Linked DNA regions of Caenorhabditis elegans. The protein of the gene in region 2 purifies or fractionates together with the protein of the main gene of each other region. This does not show direct contact. Each region holds a gene or a part of one and is shown on either strand. Other genes may lie near its edges.

What was found. Proteins that work in one complex are often made in the same cells at the same time.
Region 1: the proteins of mrps-18C (region 2) and T06D8.2 fractionate together in Caenorhabditis elegans (co-fractionation; one large-scale study listed by BioGRID). This does not show direct contact.

What each region holds. Positions count from the first base shown.
Region 1 is NC_003280.10:11,224,796-11,234,343, reverse strand, and holds T06D8.2 (UVR domain-containing protein), read right to left. Parts: upstream 7,666-9,548; coding exon 7,577-7,665; intron 7,026-7,576; coding exon 6,885-7,025; intron 6,839-6,884; coding exon 6,700-6,838; intron 6,649-6,699; coding exon 6,469-6,648; intron 6,424-6,468; coding exon 6,282-6,423; intron 6,225-6,281; coding exon 6,157-6,224; intron 6,110-6,156; coding exon 6,022-6,109; intron 5,965-6,021; coding exon 5,692-5,964; intron 5,639-5,691; coding exon 5,412-5,638; intron 5,364-5,411; coding exon 5,076-5,363; intron 2,088-5,075; coding exon 1,915-2,087; intron 1,868-1,914; coding exon 1,747-1,867; intron 1,701-1,746; coding exon 1,560-1,700; 3' UTR 1,509-1,559; downstream 1-1,508. Other genes in the region: cox-15 (EOG090X04TT), read left to right, coding at 133-493, 546-923, 1,329-1,436; plpr-1 (Phosphatidic acid phosphatase type 2/haloperoxidase domain-containing protein), read right to left, coding at 8,101-8,272, 8,810-8,952, 9,006-9,182, 9,393-9,477, 9,527-9,548.
Region 2 is NC_003281.10:4,932,514-4,939,791, reverse strand, and holds mrps-18C (Large ribosomal subunit protein uL3m), read right to left. Parts: upstream 4,215-7,278; coding exon 4,024-4,214; intron 3,978-4,023; coding exon 3,589-3,977; intron 3,512-3,588; coding exon 3,384-3,511; intron 3,271-3,383; coding exon 3,106-3,270; intron 3,061-3,105; coding exon 2,722-3,060; 3' UTR 2,571-2,721; downstream 1-2,570. Other genes in the region: rpb-2 (DNA-directed RNA polymerase II subunit RPB2), read right to left, coding at 1-12, 56-190; fsn-1 (F-box/SPRY domain-containing protein 1), read right to left, coding at 654-839, 1,379-1,526, 1,579-1,942, 1,992-2,205, 2,345-2,431; eri-9 (Zc3h12a-like Ribonuclease NYN domain-containing protein), read right to left, coding at 4,874-5,083, 5,134-5,208, 5,250-5,654, 5,702-5,970, 6,022-6,416, 6,472-6,614, 6,667-6,855, 6,901-7,051 and 2 more.

The sequences.
Region 1 (9,548 bases), on a different chromosome or scaffold from region 2:
AAATTACAGTTCTCTTTAAAGGTGCACACCTTTTCTCATGAAACAAAAATTGTCGTGTCGAGACCGGATACCGTATTTTGTGGCAGAAAATCGTCTGGAATTCAAATTGAAAATAAAAACGTTAATTTTCAGCAAATCCTCAAGCGAAGAGATGACACTAAACGAGTTCAAATTCATTTGGTCAATGGAATATGGCCATCGAATGTGGGGACGCGCCATCGGTATCGTTTTCCTGATCCCGTGCGCCTATTTCTGGGCTCGTGGCCGATTCGCACCGGATATGAAGCGACGAATGGCACTGGCCACCACACTTTTGCTGGCTCAGGGAGGCATCGGATGGTGGATGGTCAAGTCGGGGCTTGATCCATCGAAGAATTCATCGGATGTTCCGAGAGTATCACAGTATCGGCTGGCTACCCATTTGACGATGGCTTTTGTGCTCTATTCGATTTTCTTCTGGAATGGACTTTCTCATTTAGTGAAGCCACATGATGTAAGACTCTGAAATGATTTCAAATTCCATTTTCTTATTTTATTTTTTCCAGCTCTCAAAGGTGCGTTCTAAACTCGGAGCCCTTCGTGGAATGACTCATGGATCCAAGTTAATGGTATTCTCTACTGCAATTATGGGTGCTTTCGTCGCCGGACTTGACGCTGGTCTTGTCTATAATTCATGGCCTAAATTCGCCGAAAATTGGATTCCCGAGAACATGTTGTCGCGTTCACCGACATGGAAGAACTTTTTCGAAAATGATGTTACCGTGCAGTTTGTGCACCGAAATTTGGCATATTTGACCGTGATTAGTGTACTTTCAACGTTTTTGATTGGTCGACGGGCGCCGATTCCGAAGAGGACACGGATGGCACTTAATCTGACAGTTGCAGCAGTGTTTGGACAGGCGGCTCTTGGAGTTTTCACACTTGTATGTATCTTCAAATTTTGTATTTTTAGCGCCGAAAATGCAGTACCCGGCTCCGACACGACAAATTTATATTAAATACGAAGAGGTGTGCGCCTTTAAGGAGTACTGTAGGATCAAGCATTCATTATTCCGGAATTTTCACTGATTTTTCATAGTTTTTCGATACTTATTTAAAAATTTACTTTCTTATTAAATAAATTTACGAGTTGAGAAAAAATAAGAAAAGTCAATGAAAATTCAGCTGCAACATGATTTGGAAACTACAGTCTTAAAGGCTCTTTAAAGGCGCACACCCTTTCTGTTTTAATAATATTTGTCGTGTCGAGACCAGGCACCGCAATTTTGCCCCTAAAATCGCAAACAATAATACTGTTCGTCGAAAAAAAAAACTATATTCGTTTTCAGATCAACTACGTCCCTGTTTGGCTCGCAGCATGCCATCAATCCGGCTCAATGGCTCTTCTCTCCTCAGTTCTTTGGTTAAGTCATGAACTTCGCCGACTTCCGAAATAATATCAAAACAATTATTCTTAATTTATATACATAGAATCATTCTTCTAATTTCGTCATTATTGTTAGTTTAGTTCACATAGAGACACTTTCCAGTTTTTCTTTGTTATTATTTGGTTGTTAATGTTACAGCATAAACGAGATTTTCTTCTTCTTTTCAGCCTTCGGTCTGCTTCCGTCAAAGTTGTAAATTTCGCGAACAATCTTCTGGTAAGTGGGATTGTTGGAATCAGAGGAGGCGAACTTTTCCAGTTCGGAACGAACGACCTGAATGATTTAGGGGTTACTGTAGGAACGAATCGGGGGATGTTACCTTTATGGATCCATTCTTGTAAAGCTTCACCATTAGATCTTTTCCAATAGTTCGGATTTGTGGATCAGAAGTTCTGATGCACTTTGTGGCAAATCCAGCGACCACTTTATCGTTTAATCCTCTGAAAATTTGAATTCCCGCCCGATCTTTTGATTTTTTAATTCTCACGTTGGCTCATTCGGAACACCATAGAGTTTTGCAATGACCTCAATCAATATAGCTCTTCCTTTCAGATTTTTAGAGTTTGAAGAGAGCAATTTGGTTCCATAAGATTTGGCGATTGAAGGGAGTTTCGAGCCATCTCGGAAAACTGTCAAAGTTTCCGAAACTAGTCGTTTTTCCTGGAAATTTAATTTTCGAATTAGAGTATTACGGGAACATAGAGTTCAAAGAACGCGTATTGCACAACATATTTGACGCGCAAAATGTCTCGTAGCAAAAACTACAGTAATTATTTTAATGACTACAGTAGTATTTGTGTGTCGATTTACGGGCTCGATTTTTCGAAATGAATCATGAATCATCAACAATTAATATTATAGGGCCTTCATTCCGAGATGACAAACTTTTTGGTGGCAAAGGTTCTTTGGGGGCATAGTATCCAAGGAGACAAAGTATCCAGTAGACAAACTGGGGTGTATCTTGGGGGGCATATCTTTGGTGACAACCTTTTTTTCAACTAGATTTTTATATGTATTTTTCAACTAATTTTTGTTCACATTTTTCTGGAATAAGTTTTTTAATGCAATTTTCAATCGATTTTCGGTTATAATTCCCTCACAATTGAATGTATCAGGTTGTCCCATAAGTTTTTGTACTATTTTTTTTTGAAAAAAATTTATTTCTCTCAAGCGACAAGTAGTACTATTCACACAAGTATTCACCATTAGTGTCCACCACTTGTTGCCATTTACTAGGTAACATCATGATGCCACGGGAGAAGAAATCCGGCGAACGCGATGAGAAGAAAGTGGAGAGTTCAGTTTTGAGATGCTCTTCGTCGTCGAATTGCTTGTCGCGCATGTAGTCACTGAGAGACAAGAACAAATGGTAGTCGGTTGGTGCAAGATCTGGAGAATATGGTGGATGCGGTAAAACAGTCCAACCAAGATCTTGCAGCTTTTGGAAAGTCTTCTTGGCGACATGAGGCCTAGCATTATCGTGAAGAAAATATAGTTTTTCATATTTTCCGTTGGTCTTTTCTGCAACTCGGTCCAATTGGGCACAATAGTAATCAGCAGTGATAGTTTTATTAGTTGGCAACAATTCCCAGTGCACGGGTCCTTGAACACCCCACCAGACACAGATCATAATCTTTTTTGGGTGAAGATCAGGCTTTGGCGTCGGTATTCCTTTCTCACCGATCGGAAGCCATTGACGTTTTCTGGAATGGTTAACATAGAGCACCCACTTCTCATCTCCAGTAACCAGATTGTTCAGCCAATCGAACTTTCGACGAAAAGTTAGAAGTTGAGTACAAACGTTGACCCGAGTGAGCTTCTGTGATGCCGAAAGTTCATGAGGCACCCAAGTTCCAAGTTTTGAAGTAAAACCAAGGCGACCCAAGTGACGTGCAATTGTGCTATGACAACACTCAAGCTTCTCTTCCATTTCACGAAGACTAAGACGAGGCTCTTCCTCCACCAGCTTCACTAGGTCTTCTTCATTTAACTCTACCGGTCGCCCAGAACGTTCTATTTCTTCGAGACTGAAGTCGCCGTTCTTGAACTTTTGAAACCAACTCTTTGCTGTATTATAAGAGAGTGCTCCCTCACCCATCGCACCGCATATGTTTCGTTCCGCTTCCATTGCTGAATGACCAAGACGAAATTCATAAAGAAGAAGCAATCTAACGTCTCGACGTTCAAGTTTGATGATTGTCATCGTGGCAAAGTAGAAATGGATGAAATGAATCTTTTCTGAAAGGGGACGACCCGACCTTGACACGACCTACGATGAAAAAATTTTAAAACTTTCTAGAAGTTTTGGAAAAATATTTGAAAAAAAGTACAAAAACTTATGGGACAACCTGATATGAACGATGGTCTTTTGGGAAAAGGCTGTAAAACGTCCAACTAACTTGGAATATCGTGAGGCTCTTCCTGATGTTCTGATCCTTCAGCTCCGAAGGATCACATGGGTACCTTCTGATGTTCTGATCTTTCAGATAAGAAGGATCGTAAGGGAACCTCCTGATGGTCTGATCCTTTAGCTCCAAAGGATCACGAGGCTCTTCCTGATGTTCTGATCCTTCAGCTCCAAAAGAGCATGAGGCTCTGCCTGATGATCTGATCCTTCCGATCCGAAGGATCACATGGGTACCTTCTGATGTTCTGATCCTTCAGATAAGAAGGATCGTAAGGGTACCACCTCATATGGATTCATATGGATTTTTGACAAAATTTGAAAAAAATAAATGTTGAAAAAAAACTCGAAATTTTTTTTGTTATTCTTTATTCTTTAAAGAATAGTTCAAATTTATCATGATAGGACCGAAAACTTTCAAGAAACAGTATAACTATACATAATAATCAGCTTCTACCAAATAATGATAAATTCTCCGCGATGACAAACTTTTGGGTGACATCGGAAGGATCAGATCATCAGGCAGAGCTCAATGCTCTTTTGGAGCTGAAGGATCAGAACATCAGGAAGAGCCTCGTGATCCTTTGGAGCTAAAGGATCAGACCATCAGGAGGTTCCCTTACGATCCTTCTTATCTGAAGGATCAGAACATCAGAAGGTACCCATGTGATCCTTCGGAGCTGAAGGATCAGACCATCAGGAAGAGCCTGACGATATTCCAAGTTAGTTGGACGTTTTACAGCCTTTTCCCAAAAGACCATCGTTCATACATTCAATTGTGAGGGAATTATAACCGAAAATCGATTGAAAATTGCATTAAAAAACTTATTCCAGAAAAATGTGAACAAAAATTAGTTGAAAAATACATATAAAAATCTAGTTGAAAAAAAGGTTGTCACCAAAGATATGCCCCCCAAGATACACCCCAGTTTGTCTACTGGATACTTTGTCTCCTTGGATACTATGCCCCCAAAGAGCCTTTGCCACCAAAAAGTTTGTCATCTCGGAATGAAGGCCATATTATAGTGACAAATAAATGATTTTAACTCATTTCGATAATCGAGATCCCGTAAATCAGCACAAGCGCTACAGTAGTCATTTAAGGAACCTAACGAGACCCATGGCTCAGGGGCGGTGCGTTTCCAGTTATCATAGAGAGTGCACCTCGATTTCAGAATCCATAATAACTGAATTGTCGCGTAAAACAATGCATCAAACCCAATGTTCAAAAATTCCAGACTTACACTAGACAACACTCTTGTCGCTAGAATTTCACTTGTCTCGGATGCAACTCTCTGAATATACTTCTCAAGATTCATATTTGGAAGCCTCGAAGTACAAAAGTGATGCCAGAGAAGAAGCACATCTTTGTAAACTGTGAATAGTGGCTCTTTGAGCAAATGAGCCAACAAACAGCTAATGCTCTCGAAATATTTGGAAGTTTTCTCCGCACTCAACGAATCGATTTTCTCACGGATTTCCTCGATTCCTTCCTTTCGATTTTCAAAATGTTTTGAGTAGATTTTTGCGATCTAAAAATCGAATTTGAGGTGACGTGATTAGAGAAGTTAACAACTCACAGGCTCCAATCCAAAAAGTGAAATTGCTGATCTAACATTTCCACGCTGATCCGGAGGAACCATCGAAAGAACCTGCTCTTCAGTTATATCATCCGTGGATTTATCCACAAAATCTTGAGATTCTAGATGTACAGAAGACGATCGTTTTCTGTTCAAGGCGGCTGGAACAATCATATTTTCTTTCTCAAGGAACTTATTTGTTCCCATTCCAATACTATTGCTTCTTCCTGAAAATTGGATTCAGTCTGACATTCTGAAATTAATTTTTCAAGTCGCTCACGTCTTGAAGAAGAAGAAGTGGAATTCGATGATGAAGAACTCGGAGCCTTTCTGACAACTGGTGATGGAGTCCTTTTTCTTGAAATTTGAGAGTTCATAGTAGTCGGCCGAATCGGAACTTCCCAAGTTGTACTACTTCTTCTAGTTGACACGGAGTCATTTGTTTGGGGTCTTTTCGGGGTTACAGTTCTTCTGGAAGAACTGGAAGAAGGTGGTCTAGGTGGGAGAAGGAATGCAGTAGATGGATCAGCTTGAACTTCAGTTGGGGAAAGGTCTGAAAGAATGTTGGAGTTAACTTTAAGTGTTAAACTTTTTTTTTGAAAAAACTCACCAACTGGTTGATAAAGCTTCGGTTTGGAAGGCAGCTCCGAGTTCTCTGGGAAGAGATTTTTTGGCCGATGTATCTCTTCATTTCTCGGCTTTAACTTCTAAACGTTAGTGAAATAATATTTATAGAATTACGAACCATGGTATCCTCCAGCAACCGTGGATCAACTGATGCAAGGATATTCGATCGTAACGCAGTGATTTCATCTGAAAATTGAAGAGTAGGGGTATTAGTAGAAGTTTGGATATGCAGCAGTGACATACCTTGTAGATCATTCGCCCTTTGAAAATCCTCATCAGCTACAGCCTCGCCTTTATCATTTTCCAGTTCTTCCATTTCTTTTGTAGATTTCTTCAAATCCCGAACAGCTAGTTGAGCTGATTTTGCTAGCTTGAAGTCCTCATTCTACAAGTTATCAATTTGATCTCCACTTTTTTAAAACCTACCTACCGCAACAGCCGTCTGCTTATTCCTCTCTATTGCACCAATCATTGCTTGAAGTTCTTTTGAATATTTGTGATCTGGAATCACATTTTGCGGAATCCCCGGTTTGAAATCTCGAGGATCTGCTTCAATGGGCTCGTCAGATGGGAGATATTTACCAAAAAGCTTGACATCGACTAGACCAACCTTAACATTTTTGAACTTTATACTAGATCTTTTGAATTACAAAGATTCAACCAAAGATTCCAAATTATTGATAACATCTGCATGGGCTTCTGATACACTTAAAAGCAACATGGAGCAAATTTCATCAAGAAACACATTTTTCAGCTCATACTTTTGATCGTCACTTTTCCTGCTCTTAAACTGAACATCCCTGGAAATGTGGAAGCTAAGATTACTAACTTTAATAATTGACAAACCCAATATATCCTTCCTCGTCTCGGCCAGAGTATATCGAGATTTTTTTCGGTATGAACTTGTTATGGGCAACAATTTCTATCTTCTCAATTTCACTCTTTTGACGGAGATGAAGCTCAATTTCCACTGGGAAGGTAAGGGATCTGAAAATCAGAAAAATGAATATTCTAGTATGTTTTGTGTTGAGATGTTTGGTTATTCTTGAACTCTGAAGTGTTTTGAAATTTTGTTTTTGGGAGCAAATTTTTTTTGTTGGAAAAATAGGACCTTGAAAAAAAAGTAGCTCCGGTTTTGAAACTGTAATACAAGAAAAATCAAAAAGATCCGCTAACACTTAGATTTTTGCCACAAAAATGATCGAAAATGAATGAATGTGGCTGAATTAAAATTTCATAAGAAGTTGCCTTTACGCGGAAATTCAAATTTTTGAATGAAACTTGATATATTTTTTAATTTTGCCTGCCTACTACTAGTCCTGCTTATTGCCAAAACTTGTACGAATTCACAAATTTCAGATAGTCCAACATGACCAAGATATCCTAAATAACCCTCCATACATTTTCAGACAAAATTTTACTTATAAAAGTGACGGCAAAGTTTTAACATACTTTAAAAAATGTTGATAACTGCAACTAATCTTATCTGTTCTCAGTTGATAGTTTTCAAAATTCTACTGGAATTCTTCAAAACTCACTTTTCAGAAACCCACTGTTTCTCCAAAAGATACTGTTTATCGGAATTTGGCACTCCGCCAATATGCGAGACAACGTACTCCAGCTGCATACGACTTATGACTAATATAACGAAAACACATCTCGACCATCTTCAGACGAGCTCCATGGAGACTGTTGTCAAGACGGGCACAAAAACATACGAAATTTGAATAATTTATTGTTGAAGGTTTGAGTGGTGCAAAACAAAGCAAAAAAAAAGAAATAAACGAAAAAATTGTAAAAGCAAAAAAAGCGAAAGACTGCCGGGTATTCAGAGACATAGAGAAAATGCCGCATTCCGCTAAGAGCACGGTATATACACATACAAGAGAAATTTATTTAAATATCATAGTTAGATTAAATATTAATTTAAAAAATAATTAAGTGAGAGCGGGAGAGAAAGAGATGAGAAATTCTTTTTGATGAGCATAACAGAATTAAGAAAAAAACTGGGTTTCTGGGATTGGAGAAAATTAGAGATATGAGATTTTGATAGTGTATGCACCTAGTACCGATATCCATCATTTTGATGTCCCTGCTGCTGTTGTTGCTGCTGTTGTGGACTGATGGTTCTATGGAAGGATTCCGTTGTTGTCGTCACCTCGTATTGACGATTTCCTTGGTTATGACGGTTTCGCAGTGTGCCGTTCGGCCGCTCCACGTCTTCCTCGTAGACGCTAAAATTAGGTGATTGGACATATTTTATTGGATGTTTCCTAACTTTTGGAAATATGGAAAAGTATAAGTATTTGAACTAGACCATTCTAGAACGCCAAAAATTGGCGCTGCAGTTCAAATTTTAAAGCTACAAGAATATTAGAAACTCGTAAATTCGCGCCACAACGTAGAATAGAGGTGATAGGCAGGCGGGGTTCAGACAGGTTCTGAAGTTGCGCCTGCGCACTATACCTGCCTACTTATTACCATGTTGCGGAATATTGCGACCTTGGACAGAAAAATACAATTAACATTTTTTGTCTGATTCCCTTTTTTATTGCAAAATCTATGACTTTGTAGAAAATTCAAAGAAATTTCGAAATCCTTCTAGATACTGTATCGGCGAGGTCTTGATCGTTTCGAGACCCGATACTGTATTTTTATGTCAAAAGCCAAAAATCTTATGGGTAATAAAACCGCAGTAAAAGCTAAGCAACAACTTATTTGAGCCCATAATTTGAAACCCTAGATACTCTAACAAAAACCTGATAACTTACACATATTCCTCCTTCACCGACGGAGCCTGAACACGTGGAAGTCTAAACCAACTGAAGAACGGCGAGACGCGCTCCTCTTGAACAATCGGCGTACGTTCGATAGTCATATGGTAGACTTCTTGGAAGCACAGGACGCAGTAGCACTGAACAAGGATCATAGATTATATTGCATTTCTAGCCTACTAAAGGTACTCACCAAGAACCAAGCCATGAAGATTCCGATGACCCATGCGACCCAGATGTCACGCCAATGGTTTTTGTATCCGTTGATACGGGAGAACGAGTCGACGATGCAGAGTCCCATGAATCCGAAGATAAGGAGTGGGCGGAGAAGTGGGGCTCCACGCAAGTTAATCATGTAGTAGATGTAGAGCTGGAGAGAATTAAATTTTGAAAATTTAAATTTCAATGATCGAATTTTTGATTCTTTGGGGGTACCCGGGCTCTATTTAGACAACCTTTAACATATTTGAAATATTTTTTTGTTTAGTGTTGAAGCAGAAATGAAAACGCCGAGCATGGCATTTTGATCAAACTTTTCCCATATATTTTAAATTTTGAAAACTAAAAATTTGCAAGTTACAGATGCAAAGCAAGCGGCGTACGATGAGACGACGGCATGAAGGGATGGGAACGTGAGCCATGCGTAACGAAGCTCATCAGCTCCTCTGAAAATTACAAAAATAATTTTGACATAACTTCTCCTTTATCACAAACCTGTAATTGCAGGCCAAATGAG
Region 2 (7,278 bases):
ACGAACGAGACCCTTCAAAAAAGAGATTCTTTCATGATTTTATAATCAAAAATACCTTTTCATCGAAATAAGCACTGATAACAACCCAACATGCTTCTTGCCATGCTTCTGCACTGATTTCATCCGAATCATCGATATAGTCTCCGTCCATCGGGTCATTAACCATCTCATCCTCATCATCGTACATCATTTTTGCCGGCGACGTACAGTGATTCTGATATGAGGCTGAAAAAGTTGATGATTAGGAAAAAAGAATTCAAGAAAAACTATAGGTATTTAGCGGATTTTTACAAAGAAAAAACCGAATAAACAATTTAAAAAGCATATAATATTATTATAAAGCGACGAAAAAGCTTCATTGAGAAATGGACCAATTATCACGAAGTGACTAGAAAAGCTCGATAAGCAATAAAAGAGATCAATATGGGAATGAGAAAGTGTGTGAGAGGAAAGCGTGCGGGAAAAAGATCTATTATGAGTGTTTTAATTACAGGTAAAGTTTAATATCAGAATTAAATAATTTTCATATTTTTCTGAAAATTATAATAACAGTAGAAATATGAGACAAGCGATGAAAACATGTGAATAATTACATTTTGAGTGGCGAATAAATACGCGCGCAGAAGTCAGAATATACGCTCTAGCGAACGTCTTCAACCCATTTGTGGACTTCCAACATACACCATTGTCACTTCTGTGTTGCCATAAACCGCACAGACAGCCGGATAGAGACGTAATGGGGGAATATGGTTGAATGCGATTCCGAGAAATTCCGAGTTTCGTTCAAAGTAAGCGACATGGGTGTCACAGTCGATTATTAGGCGGATTTTATCGCCGACCTGGAAAAAGGATTATTTCAGTTTTTAACTAATTAGTTTATTCGAAGATTTTAAACCATTATTTCAAAATATAATTTTTCAGGAAGTTAAATATTAAAAAAAAAAAACAACAAAAAAACTTGTTCTAAATTTTTAAAATTTCACTTTGTTAAAAAATATAATTTTTCTTTTCTGTACAGTTTTAGTGAATGGAAAATAATTGTTTCAATTTATCGAAGTTTGAATATTGTGAATTCTAGCCGAGGAAATAAAAAAAATGGTTTGAATTTCTAGCACTTTTCACAATGCAGATATACAGAAAAAGTTAATTATTGGAAATTTCTCGACAACTCAAAAAAAACTCGTCATGCGATTTTACCATGACGTTCATGTTTCTTAAATTGTTAGAGATGAAAAATTGAACTTTTTCACATATTAAACAACTTTATAAAACAAGAACGTCGTATTTTGTAAAATTGTGGCCCAATACCGTTGTTTCGTCCTAGAACGAAATATATTTGCTTGCATCGGCTTATAACTGAATTTTTTTAGTGAAATACCTCATATTTCGGAGGATTGTTCATTTTTGGATAAACACCAAGCTGTGCTCCATTGTGCATCAAAACATTATCTACAAGATTCCATCCCCATGATTGATCATCTGATCCGAGGAGAGCAACATAGCCAACACAGTGAAGAGCAGCATGTCTGAAAATGTTAAAGATATATCTTTAAATTTTCAAATAAATTAACTACTCACTTAGTAGCAATACCAACAACGGCTACAGTTCCCAACGGTCCATCCCAAGTTATATCAAATGCGTGTACTCCTTTTGAAATCCCTCGTTTTCCACGGACACCGTCTGTTGACTGAGCAACTGGCTGCCGGTGAACAGTGAAACCGTTGGTACGGATGTAGTTATTTCTTGAAATATCGCTCGTATTCCAGGCAAAATACCAGGCTCTCAGCTTCTTTTTTGCAGATCCCAGCTCGGCGAGCAGGAAGGGATCGGAAACTGCTGCTTCTGGAAGCTTCTTGCCAAGAAGGTACTGCCATATGTCACTGTCTTCCATTGAAAGAGCGTTATTCCAACTATGACAGGTTAGCATTGCAGATCGTAGGTCTGAAAACAGAGCCATGTAACTTCAAGGGGGAAAATGTTATATGTTTACCTTTCAATGGTAAATACTGAAAAATCTGATTCAGTACTTTCAGAGGAAGTCTAGAAGCTGACACTTCCGGGCGTCGTGGAGAACGTCGTCGTCTTGGGGGAATGCTATGCGGAGTCAATTGTTTTGGTGATTCATCTGGGGTTCCTGATGATGGATTCCCTTCGTCATCACATTCCACCATTGAAGTTTTTCGTTCTTTCGGGCTTTCCACTTGCTGAAAATTTAATATATTTCCCTTTTTTATTATTTTATAGCTTGTTTTCATAAACAATTTTTTAAAAATATTGTCTAGCTTTGAAGTTTGAAAAATTCAAGTTTCAAAAACAGTATTTTGAAAAAAGAAAGCAACTCACTTCCAACCCACTACTTTTCATAGGCGTTGAGGCCGTCAAATTGCACTGTTCGTCTGGAACAATCGTTTCCCCGTCGTTTTCAGCCATACTTCTCGATTAACCAGCTCACCACAGTCTTGTCATTCGCTTCAAATTGAGAATCCAAGTTTCAGAATGCATAATGTTAAGAAATAAAGTAAATCTCGGTAAACGACCGGTTTGGAAAAAAATCAACAAATAATTGAATATAAACTCTGCTTTTTGGTATTCAGAACAAACAAAAACAATGCAAAACAATGAAAAATCTATAAATCTACGGAACAAAAATTCTAATAAACCGAATTTCGACAAAAAACGATAAAGGAAAACCGTAATATATCATAAAATTAGATACACCATTACTTTTTAACTTTTGCAATCTTAGCTTTCGTTTTATCTCTTCCAGTGGCCTTCTTGGCGTCGGCATCAGTGAATAAAATGGATGGAGATGTGAAACGGAACAGTTTGGGCGAGAATTTTTCGTTGAAAAGAAGATTTTTGGGAATTGTGCCTTCTTCGGGTTCTGTCTCCGGTTCTTCTTCGATGGTTTCTAGTGATGGAGCCCATGTTGGCATTGGGCCGGATTTCAGACGTTTTTCTTCTTGTAAGCAATCTTTAAGTAGAATTGTTTCTCCAATATCACCAGGTACACTTCCTTTCACATAAATTACTTGTTTATCTACATTGATTCGAACAATCTTAAATAAATGAATTGAAAATTAAAATCGAGAGCAATTTCTTACTTCCAAACCAGAAACAGTCCTCCACTCATAACCCATATGTCCCGGCATACGTTTTCCTGGCCAAATTCGAGCATCGCCGACTGAACCAACGGAACCAATTCTACGATGTGATTTTGTGGTACGTCTTGTCGGTTGTCCACGCATTCCCCATCGATGCATTCCACCCTGAAAACGACTAGTTTCGAAAATATTTCGCAAGGGTTGAGAGATTATTTTGCTCCTTGGCTTGCAAGGGAAATTTTGGAAGTTTTAGACTATTGTAAATTGAAAAAAATTACCTGGAATCCCCAGTCAATAGTTTTTCCAGTAGCAGTTACATATTGACCAACTCCGAAGTGACGGGCATCAAGTGGCTGTCCAGCACTGGGGAGAGCGTCTTCTGTTACCAGGAAACATCCGAGTTTCTCTGAATTTATTTTTTTAACCATGAATTTACGGTGAAGGACTATCGAAAAGCGGAGCAAAACACAAAAAAAACCCAACCTTTCACTGGAATTCCTGCGCGAACAAATTGCCTACGGTACCCAAGCGTGTATTTTGTTGGATCATCATTTCCGGCACCCACTGTAACTCTCCACATAGGACCGTGACGATTGAAAGCCTTTCTTTTTCCGACGGCTGACGATTTATACCAAGCCTCTGGTGATGTAATACTGACAACATGATTTTCATCAACTTCAAGCACAGTGCACAGAATTCGGTTTCCTTCATTTGTCCATTGTGGGAGCATTCCGATTTTGCGGACAACCAGACCCACACGTCTTGATGAATCTGGAATGTCAACAACTGAGACATTGGTTTCTTGAGAATTTTGAAATGCAATGGTGGACGCCGCAAGAGTTTCTTTCTCAATTACGGTTTCAAGCAGATTTCTGAACAAAAACGTTTGCTAAACAGGTAAGAATTAATGCAACTTACTTTGTCCCCTGGCTAATACCCACACTGCTTTTCGGCACACTCTCTTTGACTGGCGGAAGCCATGGAGCTGGGGTCAATGTTCTTCTGCGACCTCTCTGCTGACTGATATGTCCACTGAAGGCCATTAGAATTCTCCCGGCCCATTCTGGAGTCGGACCCGTCGTCACACTGGATACCAGTGAACGGAGCATCTGTAATTAAGATTAAATATTAGTGAGATATAATTGATCATGAAATTCTAGAATAAAAATGAAGAAAATATCATCAGAAACTCCGCATGGAAATAAAAATGCGAGATACGAGAGCTGGACGAAATATAAAATGATGGCATAGCTAATTATAGCTTTATACCTTGAATGAATAACACTTCTGACAAGCATCAAAGAAACTTGTGTTAAAATAGTAGCTATTCAGCCAAATGAAGTGATTGATTCTGCTAAGTAATGAAAAATGGGAATAAAAAAGTCGGTAATGATAATCTGACGGGAAGATACTGAGAACAGAGGAACTAACGAATAAATCGAGAAGAACAAATAATTCGAAGGTTAGGCATATTACTTAAAATGAAATTATAACTAAAAGACGAACTTCAAATTCAAAAGAAGCTTGCTAACTTTACTTTAGCCCGACTTTAATCAATGCTCCTGAGAAACTGGGTGTTTCGTATGCGGCTAAACAACACGCGCATACGGAATTTCGGAGTGTTGTTGCCAGAAAATTCAAATAAAATTTTTCAAACAAAAAATGCAATTGTTTGTTTAAAATACAATTTTCAGGGTATATATTACCAAGAATTTTTAAAATAAAAGTTTAAAACCAAAGAAATGCGAAAATATTTTTATTGAACATATTAATTATCAATTTTTGAGAAAATAGGCCAATAAAGAAGGTCCTTCCCGTTCTGAATGTCTTGAATTGCCATAGCAACATCATCCATGCGAGTTTTTTGCATAAAACTAGGTAAAAGTTCTGGCACGTAACGTTTTATAATCATAAGGAATACTCTTATTTGGCGATAGCGTTGGAAATGGAAAATAGAGAGTTGCGCCATAGAGGAAATCTGAAATATTGATGATAAATCAATCTGAACGGAAAACTGGAAAAAATAACCAAATATGTTTGTTGCTCAAGAGTTAACTGATGCGGGGAATATTCAAATTCTTCGTTTTCAGATTTCTGATCACGCTGAAAAAATTTAGACTTTACAAAATTTAGATTGCACCTACGTTTTCGGATAAGTCGCCTGAGCTGGAAGCAACATCGACGATAGCTCCTTCTTCAGAATCTTCTGATATTTCAGAACATTCCTCTTTAATCAAATATTCTTGTTTCAACGTTTGTGGATCAGCAGGTTCATCCTCAGAGTCTTCCATAGCTCCACTGATTTTTTGATGTGATTCTTCTAGGACAGTTGTGCTTGATACGGCTGAAGAACTCCCTTCAGGTTTCAAAACTCTAGATTCTTCAACGAAATCTTGTGCGAGTATTTTTTTCGGAAGATTATTGACTAGGAATACTGTGCAAATTAGAAATTCATCAAGTCTTTTAGAATAACGATTAATCACTGGAAAGCATTGAATAGCGTTTCGGGTTAGAAACTCTTCCGCTGAGGAAACAAAGACTCCATGGACCTAAAATTTATTTTCAAATTAACGAATTTTGAAACTAAAAGAATAACCTTTTCAGCTTCAAGCAATACTTGTCGTTCCACAGCCCTCCGACTCCGCCCGTCAACAAACTGTATAAGTTTTGAATTGCACAAGAATTGAAAAATAGTCGAGTCATCGACTTTTTGGTTAGTTGTATCGTTATAATAATCTGGCAAGTATATTACAGTTTGGCACCCGTCTAGAATGAAATTTAAAAGTATTTCAAGTAGAGATCTCGTGGAAATTATTGGAAGCGACGATGAGATCGGAATTAGCATGTCCATGAATGATAAGCCATCTGAAACGAATTATTCAAAGTTAAAAACATCTAAATATGAAAGTAACCAACCTATAAATACGGGTCTAAGCATACAATCCGTGCTTCTTTGGTTAAAAATTGGAGTATTTTCTGATCCGATTTGATAATTACATATTAATGATAAATCGTTGTTACGCAGCAATTTAAGCCGCTGATGTTCATCAAAATGGCATGAAAAGTTCTTAATTGTGAGGCGACTCGTTGATTCCAAGAAATCATCATGTTTCTGGAAGTGTAGAAGCCACAATATTTCTTGAATACTTTTCAATATTTTTTTTCGTTTTTTGCGTTTTTTTTCTTGTAACGTGGTCCCTGTGTATGAATGGAGTTTAGTTTGTCGTTGTTTTTCTATTTGTTTGAACTGCAAATCTGGAGCCGAAAAGTGCCCATCAAGCCATGGGCGAAAATTTGGAGTATCTCTGAAACTTGTCAAAGGTATTTAATTAAAAAATATATTCACTCTATATTGAAAAGGCTTACTTTGCAGGGAAAAGCATGTCGAAAATCTCGCTCGCAGTTCCAGTTTCCTGAGGATTGAAATAATACATTTCTTCAAGAAATGGACGTTGAGGTGTCTCTCCACTCACAACTCCACAGGGTTTAGCCACGAACTTGCGGTTTATCTAAAACAAAATATATCTTCAATAAACTATTGAAAACCTAAAAACAGCTTACTCGTCCTTGTTTATTTTTTCGGCCAGCTCGAAGTTCCTGGAGTCTTGCTTCAAGTTGTAGAAGTTCTGGAGGATACTCGGGCTTCGTTTCAGATATTCTGAGTTTATTTGTTTTCAAGACTTCCTTCTTCACTACCGGCTCTTCCTTTCCACTATCTGATTCAGAAATACAAATTATTCGGCGGAAATTCTGAAATAGTAATACATTTTTCTAATTAACATGATACAAACAAACCGTCGCATTCCGAATTGATGGTCGAGCAGGCGGAAATTTCAAATTACTCGATTCTTCTGATTCTGTTTCTTTTTCAATTTTTCTTTGATCATTGTTCTTTTCAGAAAATGTGCAGTCTTCTACCTCGGGAGTCGGTGGTTTTGAAGCTGGCCTGCAATTTTGATCCAGATGAAGAATAGACTTATATTTATATGTACTTCTCTGATTTTCTCACAACCTGCTCGTCCTCTGAGGTGCTTGGTGTTAATGCCACACAGAATCGGTACATCTGAGAATTATATAGAAGAAAAGTTACTTGAGAGGCGGCACAAGGATACGCTGTAAAAATTAGAAACTGTTCAAACAAAAAATGTTTTTAAAACTTTCCTACGGTAATTC